Ovis aries: one gene and its partner. The protein of the gene in region 1 purifies or fractionates together with the protein of each later gene. This does not show direct contact. Links are inferred from orthologs where the notes say so. Each region holds a gene or a part of one and is shown on either strand. Other genes may lie near its edges. The genes, in order: GEMIN5 and SNRNP70.

Evidence for each region.
Region 2: the proteins of GEMIN5 (region 1) and SNRNP70 purify together in Homo sapiens (affinity purification with mass spectrometry; 4 studies listed by BioGRID and IntAct, counting the BioPlex papers as one, with this or other methods). This does not show direct contact. The link is inferred for Ovis aries from reciprocal best matches to the Homo sapiens genes GEMIN5 and SNRNP70.

Annotation. Positions count from the first base shown.
Region 1 is NC_056058.1:63,861,957-63,871,374, reverse strand, and holds part of GEMIN5 (gem-associated protein 5), read left to right. Parts: intron 1-1,109; coding exon 1,110-1,243; intron 1,244-2,505; coding exon 2,506-2,579; intron 2,580-3,282; coding exon 3,283-3,464; intron 3,465-5,242; coding exon 5,243-5,382; intron 5,383-6,436; coding exon 6,437-6,608; intron 6,609-8,746; coding exon 8,747-8,974; intron 8,975-9,418. UniProt on the Homo sapiens protein: The SMN complex catalyzes the assembly of small nuclear ribonucleoproteins (snRNPs), the building blocks of the spliceosome, and thereby plays an important role in the splicing of cellular pre-mRNAs.
Region 2 is NC_056067.1:55,354,137-55,362,520, forward strand, and holds the end of SNRNP70 (U1 small nuclear ribonucleoprotein 70 kDa), read left to right. Parts: intron 1-1,728; coding exon 1,729-1,830; intron 1,831-4,313; coding exon 4,314-4,401; intron 4,402-4,480; coding exon 4,481-5,141; 3' UTR 5,142-5,299; downstream 5,300-8,384. UniProt on the Homo sapiens protein: Component of the spliceosomal U1 snRNP, which is essential for recognition of the pre-mRNA 5' splice-site and the subsequent assembly of the spliceosome. SNRNP70 binds to the loop I region of U1-snRNA.

The DNA of each region.
Region 1 (9,418 bases):
CTAGGATATTCAACCTGGAAAAAGTCATAAACATTCTAGTGCAATAAATCCTTATGCAGGCTGCTGTGTTGTCCCTGGGGTCCTTGAGGGCAGTTGTAACAGGTGATCAGTTAGAAACCATTCACCTAGAATAAGCCTCTCCAAATTTTAGTATTTGGTCTCTCTGAGCTGAATTTTTTATTGTGACTACAGTTATCTCATGCTAGGTCCTGATACCTAATCTAATAATTTTCACTAAAACTTGCTATCGCCTTTTAATTTTATCAGCATTATAATGTTGGGAATTCTTTGGCAGTCCAGTGGTGCAGACTGCATGCTCTCACTGCCAAGTGCCAGGTTCAGTCCCTGGCTGGGCAACTAAGATCCCACAAGCCACTCAGTGTGGCCAAAAAAATAAACACTTTATTTAAAAAAATTTTTTAAAGAATTATAATGTTAATGATCATCTGTTTCAACCTACAGTTAAAGCAGGGTTAGAATTTCTCAGATGATCTCTTGTTGCCTGTGAATACATTCTGACCCTTTTCTAGCCCCTCAGTCTTGCCTTTCTTATTCCTACAATGGTAGGTCTTGCAGAATTTATAAATTGAATGTGTTCAGCAAAATCTTTAGTAGTCTTTTCTTCAGCATCTATAGTGGAACATCTGTACATCTGCCTAACTGCAGTGTAAGTCATCAGAACTCAAGCAGCATTATAGAGTTCATTCATTCATTTAGCAAATGCTGATCCTTGATTTGTGCCAAACAGTTCTACAGTAGTGAAAATAAAATGTGTCCTTACAAAAACCCATCAGAACCACTGTTTACTTCCTAAAATAAACAGGAAAGTTACTATAACACCAATTGCTTTGAGAATAGCTTCTTACATTTAATCATAGGAAGTCCTGCAGCTTCATATATTTAAATGCCAGACAGTACTTATTTCTGTAAGATAAGATAAATTCCCCAAAACTTTGAGAACATGTCTTCTGATCCCAGCTTTGGCACCCCTACTGTTTTGAGTGGCAGAAGATAAAACATGTCATAGTATAACATGGTCATATTAAGCAACAAACAGTTAAGCTGGTAAAGTACAAAACTGATAAGCTTTCTTTTCTTATTCCATGTAGGAGAAGGAGACAGACCTTCCCTCACTTTATACAGTTGTGGAGGAGAAGGGATTGTCTTACAGCACAACCCTTGGAAGCTTAGTGGAGAGGCCTTTGACATCAACAAACTCATCAGGGACACCAACTCAATCAAAGTAAGTTCTTGTGATTTGAAGTCTTCTCATGATCTCTCTGTTTTATCTTCTCATCTTGCATGATAAATGGCATTATGTGAGGTATCCATTATGCTGTCAGATTTCAGGCTTCTCTCAGTTGCAATGGTTATTTATTATAAACTTTCAGATCTTGAATATAAAGCACCCTTTTCACACCTGCCACTTTCTCCAGAGGGAGGTGTTTGTAAAACTTACTTTATACTATGTTATCCAAGTACAGCTATGAGGTATTTTGCTCAAAACAGAATTATCATTTTGGTTTTTTAGTGAAATAATTACAGATTTATACAAAAGCTGCAAAAATAATGCAAATAATTTCCTTATATCCTTCACCCAGATTTCCACGTTTAATCACATTTTCTTTACCATTATATCAATATATCTGTATGCCAGAACTGTCTTTTTAAGTGAAACCATAAATGTTGAGTTTTCCTTACTCTTTCAAATGAGCATTATTTACTTTTGCTCATTATTTTTGTATGGCTATTTTTGTTATAAAAATAATATTTAATCATAAATTGAATTGTTTTTAATGGCTATATTCCTTCATGTTTTAAATGTTATCTTAACATTCAACAGTGAATAAAAGAGGCAAAATTCCTGTTCCTAACAAGCTTTTAGTTTTGTAAGACTTAAATAATATAGATCAGAAGTTCACATAAGGAATTTGGGCTGGAAATGGAAATTTAGAGTCCCTTTATATGAGCGGTAACTAAAGAAGCTGTGGGCATGTATGAGGTGGTCTGTGGAGAGACAAGTAAGAAAAGAAGAGGGCCCAGGCAGCCTTGGGGAACAAAGGAACTGTTCTCTAATAAAAACAGAAGAAGAGAAAAATAAAATTCTGGAAAAGAAACAGAAGAGATGGGAAGAAAAGAGGGTGGCGTATGTGACTTCTCTTAAGATGACAGCCCCCGTGTTATCGAAGCCAGTGGACATGTTTCATGTCTTACTGTGGGATAAAAATCATTTTAATTAAGTTCATTTCACAAGGTTAGACACTGCAAATATTTAATACTCACTGGCCTGTCTTTTGTCCCAGTTAGGAAATCATATTTAGCATAGTTGTTCTTAGTAACTCTTTGGCAAATTACGTAGATTATTTATAAGAATGGCTGTTGTAATTAGAACATTCTTAAACCAAGGTTTGTTTGTTTTTTCCCCTCACACTGTCATCATTGATTTGTAAGCTGTGTGGCAAGAACAATGTTTTCAGTCGAGATTGGTTTGTTTTGCTTTTCTAGTACAAATTGCCTGTACACACAGAGATCAGCTGGAAAGCAGATGGCAAAATCATGGCTCTTGGCAATGAAGATGGGTATGTGTTTGTTTTTTTTAAAAAAAAAAAACTTTGTAATTGCACATATATTTGATCACAAGCTAGTGCCATCTGTAATGTTAGTTGGGAAAGCCTAGCTGTATTTGATATTCTGACTTATCCCTGATATCCTTAAATAACTCAGGAGCTGTCTGCATTATTGAGAACTGCAAAATAAGTTAAATATTTATAGCTCAAAGGGAATGTTTGCCTACTCTGTTTTGGTTGTAGTATGCTTCAAAGAATGCTTATCTCCAGAATTAAGTTCCCTAAATCTCCTTTCATTCTTTTTAAAGAAAAAAAAAGCAGAAATGCTTTTTAGCTCTTACTATATCCTTTCCAGTGTTTTGGTTTGGTTGTTTAGGGTGTTTTGTTTTGTTTTGCCCTTTCCGGTATTGATCATAGTAACATGGTACTGTTTCAGCCATTGGTTTATTAATTCTTCTTTTAGTTTTTCCCTGGTACCATTTATTATTTTTAGAGCATGATAAATACAACTTTCCAGAGGTTGTTGGGATTTATTAAAGCTGCTGAAAGAACTGCCTTTTGTACCTGATTTTTTGTAAGAGAGTAACCTCTGCAGTTAAGATTGGGTTATCCTATTCCATTTCACCTTTCTTTGACTGATGGAATGAGGATGATACCTGCTTGCACTGAACTGTAATTTGAGCATCCTTTCTTATCTTGGTGTTTCTTATTCCAGATCAATAGAAATATTCAAGGTTCCTAACCTGAAACTGATCTGCACCATCCAGCAACATCATAAGCTTGTGAATACCATTAGCTGGCATCATGAGCATGGCAGCCAGCCAGAACTGAGCTATCTGATGGCCTCTGGCTCCAACAACGCAGTCATTTATGTGCACAACCTGCAGACTGTCATAGGTAACTTTGGTTTCTTTCCATACTGGGGGTGGTATATGTGTTCAGCTACTTTTTGTTCCAATCTTCGTACATTTTCCTTTTTCTTTGGTATTAAACACTACTCTTACTATTTTTCTGCTTTCAAAAGTAATGTATTCACCTTATTTAAAACACAACAAAAATTTCAAACATGACAATACATGTTAACTTAGAAAGTGAAGTACCTCCCTTATTCCCATCCCTCATTAATAAACATTGCTGTTTCCTCCAAATTTTCTAAAGTATAGTTATTGCCAAGTCACTCTCCAAAAGATGGTGCCAATGTATATTCCCTTCCTTCAGTGTTTGAGTATTTGACACGTACAACACACATCCCATCCCATGCATGACTGCATCTAATTCTTACACTCCTGGGAGGTAGGTTTTGTTATCTTCATTTTCCTAATTGAGGCTCAGAGGGGTTAGCTCACTTCCATGCGTCCCACAGCTCATACATGATAGAGCCCAGATTCATTCCCACACTGTCTAACTGCAGCATCTGCATGTGTTCTGGTAACTACTAGTCCCTGCCTAGCAGGTTGATCTTTTTCATATTTTCATACAACTTATTCCTTACAAGGCTTAAACTTCTCTGAACTTCCTCAGCACCTAGAAGAAGTTAAGTGGTCAGAAGAGCCTTTTTTAATGTGAAAGAAGATAATTACTTTTTTTCTTAATATGAAGAAAAAAAAAACACATAACCCATCTTCATTGCCAAGAGCTATAATTTTTGTTTTTTAATATGCTTTTGTTTGTTTTGCCTGAAGAGACAAATCCAAAGTAATACTGGTATCATTTATGTCAGAGAGTTCCTTTCTAAGAGTTCTAAGGTTTCCAGTTTTACATTTAAGTCTTTAATCCATTGTGAGTTTATTTCTTTATAAGGTGTGAAAAAATGTTTTAATCTCGTTCTTTCACAGGTAGCTGTCCAGTTTTTCCAGCATCACTTACAGGAGAGCATTAACTTAATTCTTAAAAGCAGTGCAGATCTTTGTCTACTGAAATACTATCATCCTGGTTTGTTTTTTATTTCAAATCTACTGAATAACACAAAAAGGGAAACAATGACCAGGAAAAACTTCATTTTTATCTTCTTATATTTAAATAATTCACACTTAGAGGAAAGTTGCAAAAACAGTATGAAGGACTACCATATACCTTTTCACAGATTCAACAACTTATAACCTTTTGTCATATTTGCTTTGTGCTGTGGTGTATGTATTTTCCAAAGTGTTTGTGTATTTTGTAAGAATAATGATATTCCTTTATATAACCACAATTCCATTATAATAGTTTAATCTACCATGCTTATTCTAGTGTTGTCAGTTGATTCAATATTGTCCTTTATATCTCTCAGCCTTTTTTGTTTTTTCATCTTGATTTTTTTTTTTTTTAATACCAGCTGGTTATGTGGTAGATGCGTCCTCAGTTTGGTCTCATATATTCTTATGACTAGATTCAGGTCACACATTTTTAACTATACATGATAATACATCCTTCTTGGTATCACATCCTAAAGGCATTACTTCCATTTTGCTGGCTTTTAGAAAGAAAGAATGAGAGCTATCACTTCCTACAGTAAGCCCATGGATATGCCACAGTGGATATGCCTACACTCTTAACCACTAGACAGTGCTGCCCAGTGAAAATCACGTAGAAAGCATGTGGCAACATCTTGACTTGCCATGCTAATTAAAACCCTCCTTTATGTCTTTCTGTTGTTGTTATTGGTACCAATGCCATCATCCCCTGTCTTTTAGAGAGCAATCCTGAATCTCCAGTGACCATTACAGAGCCCTACCGGACCCTGTCAGGGCACACAGCCAAGATCACCAGTCTGGCATGGAGCCCACACCATGATGGAAGGCTGGTATCCGCCTCCTACGACGGTACAGCTCAGGTACTATTGCATCCCTGATTCTGTGGGTTCTTCACTATATACTCTAACTGAAACTCTTTCTTCTTCTCCCCTGTGATTTTTCTGAGCTCTCAGTTCAGTTCGGTTCAGTTGCTTGGTGGTGTCCAAGTCTTTGCGACCCCATGAACTGCAGCACACCAGGCCTCCCTGTCCATCACCAACTCCCGGAGTCCACCCAAACCCATGTCCTAGAGGGCATTTTATTAAACATATCTGGGCCCTTGTCAGGGTAAATTTGGGTTTTTTTGTAACTTAGGTGAAAGAGAATATTGATAGGAACTAGCTAAACTGATGTTTTTAAAGATTTCACTTTGACCTCCTGTCAGTATGATAGACTAAAGTTGATGTGAAAAGTACTCCTCCCATTCTGTTCTGTCACAGAAGGGTGACTATAAATCATGAAAAAAAATACTTCTAATAATAACTCGGTAGCTTACATCTTCAAGTTCTCAAAAATAAAGATGAGATGCCAAGCCAGAGCTGTGAAGTGAGTTTCGGATATCAGAACCAGAACAGACCTCAGGAACTGGGGATCCATCATCAGTGATGGATGTCTGTCTCAGTACTGAGTGGTAAATGAGCTGTCTGCACAGAGCTGAGAGCCGTGACTGGCTGCCCTTTGAGATGGAGACTGGAATCATTCAGGAAATAGCAAGGAAATTGATCATTTGCCCTGAGGTAGAAGAATCATCTGTGAGAAACTAGAACCCTTGCATCACACATGTAGATGTGGGCTCTGAATTAGAGGTATCGGAATCCCCAGCCCAAAGATAACATGCAGTACTGGTTCAAGACAGTGAAATCCACAGGGCATCATTAAAAGCTTACTCCAAATCATTCCTATGGGAACTCTATATCCCAGAATACAGAAACCTCCGTTAGGAAATAGCACTTTCTGAAACTGCAAGTACAAATTACAAGAGGAAATAAGAGTACACAGATTTTTTTTTTTTTTTTCAAAAATGTATACCAACACCTCCTCAGACAATAGAATAACCAAAAATTATCTATTCTCATGTGCGACTTTTGGTTTTAGGTGTGGGATACTCTCCAGGAAGAGCCTCTATGCAATTTCCGAGGACATCGAGGTCGATTGCTTTGCGTTGCATGGTCCCCATTGGATCCAGATTGCATCTACTCAGGGGCAGATGATTTCTGTGTGTACAAATGGCTCACTTCCATGCAGGAACACTCCCGACCTCCGCAAGGTCAGTCAGAACCTGGAGCCTATAAGGGCTTGCCTCATTCCCTTTTTCCTTTCCTCAGTAAGCTGTCAGTCATGCAAGGAGGACATTCATGGTGGGCAATAGAGCAGTATGGTGGGAATGGAAGCCTGGGCAAGGACAGTAGCCCGAAGAGGTCTGAAGACAACACCTGAATAGTAGCAAGTATTCCTAGCACCCAGATCTTGTTTTCTAAATCTCAATCTCTAAAAAGGAACCTACCAGGGCTTCTTGGAGAAATGGCTAGTTCCAGGTTAGGCGGAAAAAATCTAAGATAAGTCTGCAGCATCATTTGCCACAAAGGTATAACTGAGGTCATCAAAAGGACAAAGAAGCCAGCTTGAAGGGGCTGGCTACCCAAATGTGAGATAATCTGAACTTGAAAATAATTAACAGAATTTCACTTCTGGCTATAAGAGACTAACTGGAACCAGATTTTCCCACCCACCAGAAATAGCTAGAAAACTAAACAGGGTATATAAACAACTAGAAATGTACTCAAGAAATGAAACGATGCATCCACATAAAGACTTATAAAAGAATCCTTATACCTAATCTGTAACTGCCACAATCAGAAACAACACAAATGTCAGCTGGTAAATAAACTGTGGTATATATCCTACAGTGGAACTATTCAGCAATAAAAAGCAAGTAGCTACTTATAAATACAACAAAATGGGTGAATCTCAAAGATTATGCCTAGCAAAGTAAGCCTGGCACAAAAGACTAAACACTGTATAGTACTAATATAGAGTATGAAATGTAGTTGTAAATCATACGAATTTCTAAAACAGACAAAACTAAACTACAGTGATAGCAAATCAGTGACTGCCTGGGGCTCAGGGAGGAGGGGAATCTACACAAAGAGGCATGAGGGAACATTTTGAAATAATGGCAACAGTTTATTTGTGGTGGTGGGTTACCTATACAGCTGTCTAAACTCATAAAAACATTAAAAAATCTGGTATTTTTTCTTGTGTTAAATTATATCTCAGTAAGATGACTTGAAATCAAAAGATAAAAGCTTTCAAACTGAAAAAGTAAATAAGTAATAGTAAAGGATTAAAACATTAAATAGGAATTCTTGAGTCCATACTGACCACTATAAAGTAACAGTCTAAATAAATAGACAGAAGCAAAAGTTCTTTTCAGCAGAAGGCCACCTAGTAAGTGTAGACTGAACAATGGAACCGAAAATTGCCCTTTGGCCATAATCATAGTAACAATTTTTAGTAAAACTAGTGGGGACAAACCTGCAAGGTACCGCCCTCCTTATTCAAGTAACAAGTAAGTAAGTATTAGTCGCTCAGTCATGCCTGACTCTTTGCAACCCCATGCACTGCAGCCCACCAGGCTCCTATGTCCATGAACTTTTCCAGACAAGGATACTGGAGCGGATTGTCATTTCCTTCTCCAGGGGATCTTCCCGACCCAGGGATCAAACCTAAGTCTCCTGCACTGCAGGCAGATTCTTTACCAACTGAGCTACAAGGGAAGCACACCAAGTAATCAAAGTGAACCACAAATAATGAGACAAATAGAAATTATGTGCTACCTCCCAGGCTGCACCAGGATAAACACAGCCTCACTGGTTTGTATTGCAGCTCAAAGTATATAACCTAAATCTAATCATGCAAAAGATAAGGCAGACCCAATGTGAGGGAAATCAGACAAAATATCCTGTGATCTTCATGAGTTTCTAGTCATGAAAGTCAAAATAAAACCTGAGCCTGTTCTAGGCTGAAGGAAACTAGAGATGTAACAAGCCAGTGCAACCTGTAGTCCTGGAGTGATTTCCTTTTGCTATAAAGGACACTTCTGGTGTAACTGGTAGAACTTGAATGAAATGGGAATGAATAATCTATCAGTGTTAATTTCCTGATATTAATGGTTGTGCTGTGATGATGTAGGAGAATATCCTTCTTTGTAGGATATACACTAAAGTATTCAGGGGTAAATGGGCATTGTGTTTATGATTTAATGAAATCTGAAAAGGGTTTGGTTTGGTTAACATTTTGATAATATAACTAAGACTTCATTGGGAAGGTGGGGAAAAGGTAAGAATGTTATCAAAAAGAAGAGCAATAAGGTATCTATCCTTTTCTGAACTGTGATTTCTATAGGCAAGAAAAGTATTGAATTAGAGAAAAAGCGGCTCTCTCAACCTAAGCCAAAGCCCAAAAAGAAGAAAAAGCCCACCTTGAGAGTGCCTGTAAAGCAAGAATTATGTGACGGGAATGAAGAAGAGAGTGTAAAGGAGAGCCTGGGCCCTGTTGAGAATGGCGTGTCAGACCAGGAGACAGAGGAGGAAGCCCGCGAGCCAGAGCCACCCTGTGGTGTCACCTCGGCAGGCATGTAGCCGAATCTCGTGTTTCACTCTCTAGCACTTAACAGTCCTGACCAGGAACTAAGTCAGGTCTACCTTTGAAGTGTTAAGGGAATCTAATGGATGATTGGGATGGAAATAGTAAAGTTCTCTAGAGAAAACTTACCAACCTGGGCAGGGTAAGACTGTGGGACAAAGTGAAGCTGGGGCAGCGTATACATAGAACCTTACAAGTAAGGGCACGTTTTTAAAGTTGTGGTGGCTAGAATCTTTATAATTTTCCTTAGATCAGTTAGTCAGAGTTCTAGGTGATAAATCTACAGATTCCTGGAAGGCAGTTTGAGAGGTGGGGAAAGGGAGACTGACTACCCATGCTTCCTGTCTGAAATATTTCATCTTAATATTTGGAGTAATAGATAAAATCACACTGTAAAGACTGGGATAGCTCTTAATTTTTAAAAAGAACTAG
Region 2 (8,384 bases), on another chromosome or scaffold:
TTGCTTGACTGTGTCCCCAGTCCTGAAATCCCGCCCCCACTACGCTCCTCTGGGTTCAGGGGCCCAGCGGCCCCTTCCCCGTGGATCATGGGCAGTACTCCCATCTCCTGGACCCCCGAAGCTGTCCCCTTGTGTGCCAGCCTTTGGGCTGAAGCAGATGGTGGGAGGGAGTGAGAAGTTCAAGGTGGAAAAGTCATTCCATGTGCTGAGGGGGTGGGGCCTGTGCCTAGCTGAGCGTGGATTTTATGGGGAAAAGCTGAAGGTGGACAGGTTTGCTAAGGCCTCCCTAGCCGCTTTGTAGAATTCAAACAAGATAGTCCTTTCAAGTTCCCAAGCTCTATGTTAACCCTGTCTCCCTCCTCTTCAAGGCCTCCATGAGGTTTCTTTGGGGTCCACCACTTCCTCTGCCTGCCTCCAGGCGGTACAGGAGATGTGGTTCCTCGCCCCTCCGGGGGCTCCCTAGAACCCCCTGGCTCCCTCCCCCGTAGCTTTAGCTGACCCCATGGTGGTGGGTGTGGGGTCTGTGCGCGTGCTCAGGTAAGCTTGGGGGCTCCAGGTAAGCGGTCCCGTGTCCCCCCCCGGGAAGCCCGCCTCCTCGCCAGGCCCCCAGGAGTTGCCGAGCCCCCCCCATCCCGCTCGGTTTGGACACCCGCAAGGCTGGCATCGGTAAATGGCACCTTTTTCTCTTCCTCTGGTTGTTATTTGGGGGGGGAGCGGGCTGGGGCGGGGCCGGGTGTTGTGGCTGGTTGAGGATGACCCCCTCCGCCAGGGCTGGGGGTTGGGAAACAGGGACGTTTTTGGCCTCCCGAGAGCCCCGTGTGAGGCAGCCCCGGGCTTGGGCCTGTCCTTGGCTGTGTCCTGCCCACCCGCAGGACGCGCTCCTCCCCGCCTCTCCCCCCTTACTCCGCACCCTTCCTGAGGCTCAGGTCGGGCTCGGCCCTTCCCGGCGCGTGTTGCACTGGGGTGTGGAGGGAGAGCTGGGCTGGGGGCTGGGTGGGTATAGTCTCGGCAGGTAAGGCAGGGATTTTCAGTAGCACCGCACGACTCCCATGCCTCCCTCCACTTCCCTCTGCCCCACCTGCTGTAGGGGGCCCCCATAACCCACCCTCTACTCCCTGCCATCTCCTAAAGATTTCTCCTGCCCCCTTCTGGTTCATTTTCTGTTCTGATGTCTGTTTCCCCCATGCTCACCCTCCCCCAACAAAAACCACAGTAAAAGGAAACCGGTGTGAACTGGGGTGCGGAGCGGCCAGCCGGGCCTCTGCTCCCAGCATGACGTTTTAGGGTGCATGCCTGGGGTTGTGGAGGAGCCCTCCCCCACTGCAGAGTCCAGCCTTAAGTTAACCTCCAGTTTCTTTGCAGCGACTTTGGCCGCCTTGGTGGGAGGGGGCTGCTCTGTCAAAGGGGAGTAGGCCTGGCCTGGGAGCCCAGGGCAGTGGTTAGGGTGAGCATAGTGGTTGGGAGTGGGCCGGCCCCCCAAGAGTGTTTGGGGGTGATGAGGCAGGTGGTGAGATGGAGCAGGCCCCTCCCGGGTTGGGAGAAGGTTGTCTGGCTGTCAGTTGCCTGGCTGTCTGGTGGGCCTGTGTGTGTGCGTGCGTGTGTGCGCCGAAGTGTGCTGACGGGGACATGGCGGGTGTGGCGGGTCGGGATGCCACAGAGTGGGGCCGTCACCTGACTAGAGGATCCTCTGGGGACTCCTCCCCCTCCCCTTCCCCACATCTGTTGCAGCCGCTTACAAGCATGCAGACGGCAAGAAGATTGACGGCAGGAGAGTGCTCGTGGACGTGGAGAGGGGCCGCACCGTGAAGGGCTGGAGGCCCCGGCGGCTAGGTGAGCGTGCCCTGCTCTGGCTGGGCTCGGGGTCCTGCTGGCTCCCTCTCCCTTCTCTTCCCCCCCCCTGCTGCTTTCTGTCTTCTCTTCCCCATGCAGCTGCTCACATTCCTCCCTCTCTCCAGCTCAGCCTCTCGGTCTCCAGCATTCTCTTGGTCTGTTTTTGTTTTTTATTCTGGGTTACCAATTAGGAGCAAGAGTACTGACCTGGAGAAGCCAGTCTGGGATCAAATTCTGACTTGCGCATACCTGGCAGGTGGATTTCTCCCCTTTTCTGACTCATTTTCCTCATCCTAGAAAGTGGGAATAATCTCAAGAGCTCACTGAGTTCAGTGTCTCAGATACACAGCCTGGCAAATGGTGTACAGTGGGGCTTGAAAAGTCGTTCTGGCATCCGCTTAGACTTTGCTCCTGCTCATCCGGCCTGTTCGTTCATTGATTACTGAGTAAACACTGGTGTGATCACCAGCTGCGTAGCAGGCTTCTAGTCAAGGGTGAGACATACATGGTTGGCCGCTGCCCTCAAAGCTTCAGTCCCTCTCACTGTCATCTCTTATTGTCAGTTACCGTCTCAGTCAAGGTCAGGTTGGTAGCAAGTACCAGAAAACAGTATAAAGGGGTCTGTTGGTATAGAATCCCGGTGTCTTGGGGCCTTGTTGGTGTAGAAACCCCAGTGGCTTGGAGCCCAAAGATGGGGGAGGTCTGTGGGCCTTGAGGCCCTGGCGGCTGAGCCTGCAGCATCCAGAGCTGCCTCTGGCAGCTCTGTGCCTTCTGCCTTGTTTGCTTGCTGTCTGTGAGTTGGTCCCTTCTGGCTCTCTCCCCACGGAGCCAGTGTGGTATTCCACAACGCAGTCTTGGATGAGTCTGCGCTTCTGGGTGGGTGGATCTAAGTGGCTCAGCGTTGGGCCTGGACCTGGGGCTGAGGTTGTGCCATCCAGACTTGGCTGTCGAGGACCAACTCCAGTGAGGGGGAGTGACCCAATTGTCAGAGAAAATAGTCTTCGCTATGCAGACACCCTAGGCAGGTCCAGTACCCTCTGACCTTATTTCTGCCCCCAGCCTGCTGTTCTTATGCTTGACTTGCCTTTACTGAGTAAATCACACATGTATCTGCCGAGTGTCAACTCAATAGATAAGTTCTCCTCTCCCTCTCTGGTTTCTTTGGGTTGGAGTGAGTCCTTCAGAGTCTGCTCTTGCCCATTGTAGAATCCTGGAATCTCAGAATCTTCTAGTTTGATTGGCATTCCAACTTTCTGATGGTGATAGCCAGTGCATTTTGACCCAGTGTACATGCAAAAAAAATACATTTAACCCAAACAAAAGTTTGATGAAACAGTAGTTTATCTTTTCTACGGGCAGTATATATACTAGTGTTTTATGTTCTGTTTCTTTCTTTTAAAGAAATGGTTGGTTGCATCCTGTCAGATTTAGTGATGTGACTCCACTGCTGGGTTGTGATCTGAACATGGAAAGCACTGGTCTGTTTCTCCGCATCCTTGCTGGGTGGCTTGTCCTCTGTTCGGATGTTTCATGTCCATGTCCAAGCTTTTGACCCTCATTGCTGAAAGCTATTCCTTAAATAGCTTCAGGAAACTCCCTTCCAGGCAGTGGGGGCAGAAGACTGAGTGAGAGGGCAGCTTCTGGAGTTAGCGGGGAATCACGTCTCTGCTCTGCCCTTTCTTGCCGAGTCACCCTGGGCAGGTGGCTTTTCAGCCTGCGTTTGTTTCCCACGTGAAGGAGGAGGGTAACTGCTGCTGCTTCCAGTTGTCCTTGTCGCCATTTGCTCGTCCAGCTTTTTATCGTGGCTGCTGGTCCAGCGTCCTGATGGAAGGCGCAGTACAGGCTAGAGAGGGAGGCAGCTGTTAATCAGCTCTCTCTTGAACGTGCGTGTACACACACATAGACGAAATTGGAAACTCCACCTGAGACACACACGTGAAATCGGAAACTCCACTGAAGTTCTGAAGCCAGTGTGTGGTCTGTGAGTGGAGAAGGGCCTCAGCTGGTAGGTCAGGGCAGGCGGAGTGAGGAAGTGAGGTGTGGGTTAAGGTGCGGAGGGTAAGTGGGAGTTAAGTAGAAAGGAAGGTGAGACTCCAGGGGAACGGGTGAATGATCCCCAACACTGGGCAGGAAGGACATGGAGACCATGAAGAGGTTGGAAAATGCCTGGAACCTTTAGAGCCAGGGGCCCTTGGGCTGAAAGACAGGGAGGAGGCCGGCCTCTGACCTTGGCTTGGGCGGTGGGCAGCCACTGCCGGCTTTGAGGCGGGTCAGGCTTCAGTTAGAAGGATCGGGGCTGTGTCTCGGGCGGGAATGACCGGAGGAGAGGGTCTGTCAGGGGCTGGGGCCTCCCCGGTGGGGGAGGTGAGCCCGGAGCCCTATGAGGGCGCGTCCAGCTGGCGCTGTGACCTTCTGATCTCTGCACTGCCCGCCGTCTCGGGGTCCCCACCCGCTCTGACCCGCCTGTGTCTGCCCCTCCCCAGGAGGCGGCCTGGGCGGCACCCGGAGAGGCGGGGCGGACGTCAACATCCGGCACTCAGGCCGGGACGACACCTCCCGCTACGATGAGAGGTGAGGCCGGGCCGGGTGTCCTGGGAGCGGGGCGGTGAGTGGGGGAGCCCTGCCGCAAACCTCTGCCCACCTCATCCAGGCCCGGCCCCTCCCCGCTGCCCCACAGGGACCGGGACCGGGACCGCGAGCGGGAGCGCCGGGAGCGAAGCCGCGAGAGAGACAAGGAGCGGGAACGACGACGCTCCCGCTCTCGGGACCGGCGGCGGCGCTCTCGGAGTCGCGACAAGGAGGAGCGGCGGCGCTCCAGGGAGCGGAGCAAGGACAAGGACCGGGACCGCAAGCGGCGCAGCAGCCGGAGCCGGGAGCGGGCGCGGCGGGAGCGGGAGCGCAAGGAGGAGCTGCGCGGAGGCGGAGGCGGAGGCGGCGGCGGCGACATGGCCGAGCCCTCCGAGGCCGGCGACGCGCCCCCGGATGATGGGCCCCCCGGGGAGCTGGGTCCGGACGGCCCGGATGGCCCAGAGGAGAAGGGCCGGGATCGTGACCGGGACCGACGTCGAAGCCACCGCAGCGAGCGGGAGCGGCGCCGGGACCGCGATCGCGACCGGGACCGGGAGCACAAGCGGGGGGAGCGGGGCGGCGATCGGGGCAGGGATGAGGCCCGAGGTGGGGGTGGCGGCGGCCAGGACAACGGGCTCGAGGGTCTGGGCAACGACGGCCGAGACATGTACATGGAGTCCGAGGGAGGCGACGGGTATCTCGCTCCGGAGAACGGGTATTTGATGGAGGCTGCGCCGGAGTGAAGAGGCCGCTCGCCGGCCGCTTGGACGTGTTCCTACTCCCCCTGCTGTCATCCTCTCCCCCACCTTCCTGGTCACCACCTGAATCTGCCAGCCAAGGGTAGGAGTCTCCTTATTTGTTTTGGTCTCTTGGATTTAAAAATAAAATTTCTTGTTGATAATGGGCGCTTGGTTTCTTCACTGCTCTTACTGTCTTCCCCAGGAGGGTGTCACCTTCTGACTTAGATGGCCCCACTCTGGTGTTCCAGGACAGGAGCTGTATGAACTAAAGGCTAGGGCTAGTCCCGGATAGCCAAGCTGTTGAGAGTAAGGAAGACCTCCTTAAGGGTCCTTGATGCCTTGCTTTTTTTCGGTGCTCCCACACATTTCTTGTGGAGCTGTTCATACTCCTATCTTAGTGTGGGGATGGGGCTCTGGGCCGTGTTTTCACGAAGCGTGAGAGCGAGATAAACAGGTAAAGAGAAGAGACAGGCTTGCCTATAAGTGGTATTGGGACAACTGGACAGCAGCTACATGTAAAAGAAAAAAACATTTTCTTAATGGCCATATACAAAAATAAGATGGATTAGGGCTTCCCTGGTGGTCCCGTGGTTAAGAATCTGCCTGCCAATGCAGGGGACATGGGTTTGACCCCTGGTGTGGGAATATCCCACATGCCAAGGAGCTGCTAAGCCCAGGTGCCACAATAAGAAACCACTGCAATGAGAAGGCTGCATGCTGCAACTAGAGAGGAACCCCGCTTGCCACGGCTAAAGAAAGCCCGCGTGCAGCAAGAAAGACCCAGTGCAGCAGAAATAAAGATTTAAAAAAATGGATTGCTGACTTAAATGTAAGACCAGGTATTATAAATAAAACTAGAGGAAAACATAGAACACACTCTGACATAAACCACAGCAATACTTTTTTGGAACCAACTCCTAGAGTAATGGAAATAGAAGCAAAAATAAATGAGACCTAGTTAAAAGCATTTGAACAGCAAAGGAATCAATAAAATGAAAAGACAGCCTACAGAATGGGAGAAAATATTTTCAAATACAAACAGCTCATATTGCTTAATATATAAAATACAAACAACCCAGCCAAAAATGGGCAGAAGATCGAAACAGGCGTTTCTCCAAAGATGATGTACAGACGGCCAACAGGCATGTGAAAAGATGTTCAGTATTGCTAATTATTAGGGAAATGCAAATTAAAACCACATGATCACCTCACAGCAGACAGAATGGCCATCACCCAAAGTCTACAAATAAGTGCTGGAGAGGGTGTGGATAAAGGGAACCCTCCCGCACCACTGGTGGGAATGTAAATTGGTATAACCACTATGGAGAACAGTATGGCAGTTCCTTTAAAAACACTTTTAAAAATAACTCACCATCCCACTCCTGGGCATATATGTCCAGAAAAAATAACCTGAAAAGACATGCATCCCAATGTACGTAGGACTGTTTACGATAGCAAGGGGCATTCCCTGGCAGTCCAGTGGTTAGGACGCCATACTTCCACTGCAGGAGGCGCAGGTCCAAAGAGACCTGCATGCCACGTGAGTGAAGGGAGAGTTGTGTCCAACTCTTTGTGACCCCAGGGTCGATACAGTCCGTGGAACTTTCCTGGCCAGAATATTGGAGTGGGTCGCCATTCTCTTCTCCAGGGGATCTTCCCAATCCAGGGATCAAACTTGGGTCTCCTGCATTGCAGGTGGATTCTTTACCAGCTGAGCTACCAGGGAATCCCAAATGCCACATGGAGTAGCCAAAAAACAAAAAAGATAGCATAATAGCCAAGATATGGAAGCGACTTAAATGTCCATCGACAGAGGAATGGATGAGGAAGATGTGGCCTCTATATACCATGGAATATTACTCAACCATGAAAATAATGAAATGCCATTTGTAGCAACATGGATGGACCTAGAGATTATCACACTAAGTGAAGTCGAAAGGAGAAAGACAAATATGACACTGTTTATATGTGAAATCTTTAAAAAAAATGATACAAATGACGCATGCTTTGTGCGTGCTAAGTCGCTTCAGGTCCGGGCGCCTCTGTCCATAGGGATTCTCTGGGCAAGAATACTGGAGTGCGTTGCCATGGCCTCCTCCGGGGCATCTTCTCAACCCAGGAGTCGAACCTGTCTCTTATGCCTCCTGGATTGGCAGGCACGTTCTTTACCACCAGCCCCACCTGGGAAGCCCTGATACAAATGAACTTATTTGCAGAACAGAAACAGACTCACAGACACAGAAAACAAATTTACAGTTACCCAAAGGGAAAGGGAGGAGAGGGATAAATTAGGAGTTGGGGATTAATAGATTAATAGATACACACAACTATATATAAAACAACAAGGACCTACTTATATAACACAGGGAACTATACTCAGTAGATCTTGTAATAACCTATAATGGAAAAGAATCTGAAAAAGAATACATGTATAACTGAATCACTGCTGTACATCTGAAACACTGTAGATCTGTACTTCAATTTAAAAAAAAATTTTAAGATGTAAAAAGATTGGGTAGAGGGACTTCCCTGGTGGTCCTGCAGCTAAGACTCTTAGCTCCCAATGCACGGGGCCTGGATTTGATGGATCCCTGTTCAGGGAACTAGGTCCCACATACAGCAACTAAGACTTCACATGCCGCAAGGAAGATGGAAGATCCCGTGTGTCACAACTAAGACCCAGCATAGCATAAATAAATTAAAAAAATAAAAATCAGGTAGAGCAGAGGGTCCTCACAGGGCCAGGACAGAAAATGGCCTCCAGTTCATGATGGCAGGTTCACTGTTTTTACTTCCTAATGATAGCAGAGGAGTAACAAAGCAAGGTTCCGTCAGCGGTCGAGATGTCAGCGCATTTCTGGATTAAAGACGAAATAGGACAGTGGCGAGAACACGTCAGTCTGGTGGCCACTTGAGAAGGGAGCCATCCACAGACCTTGGCAGAGAACTTAGAGGCTCAGGACTGCAACTTCAGGTGTAATAAGGCTGCTGCTGCTGCTGCTAAGTCGCTTCAGTCGTGTCCGACTCTGTGCGACCCCGTAGACGGCAGCCCACCAGGCTCCCCTGTCCCCGGGATAGGAGACTTGAACAGGATTTGTACCCAGAACAACTGCACTGTTTCCACAATCAGAATGCCTCGGAGCTGGGCATTTTCAAATACGAGTTTCTCAGCCTGAAGGCAGAGTTGGCCTGATAATTAGAGGCAAACTGTCAGTGAAATCCAACTGCACACCCCAGATTCTAGTG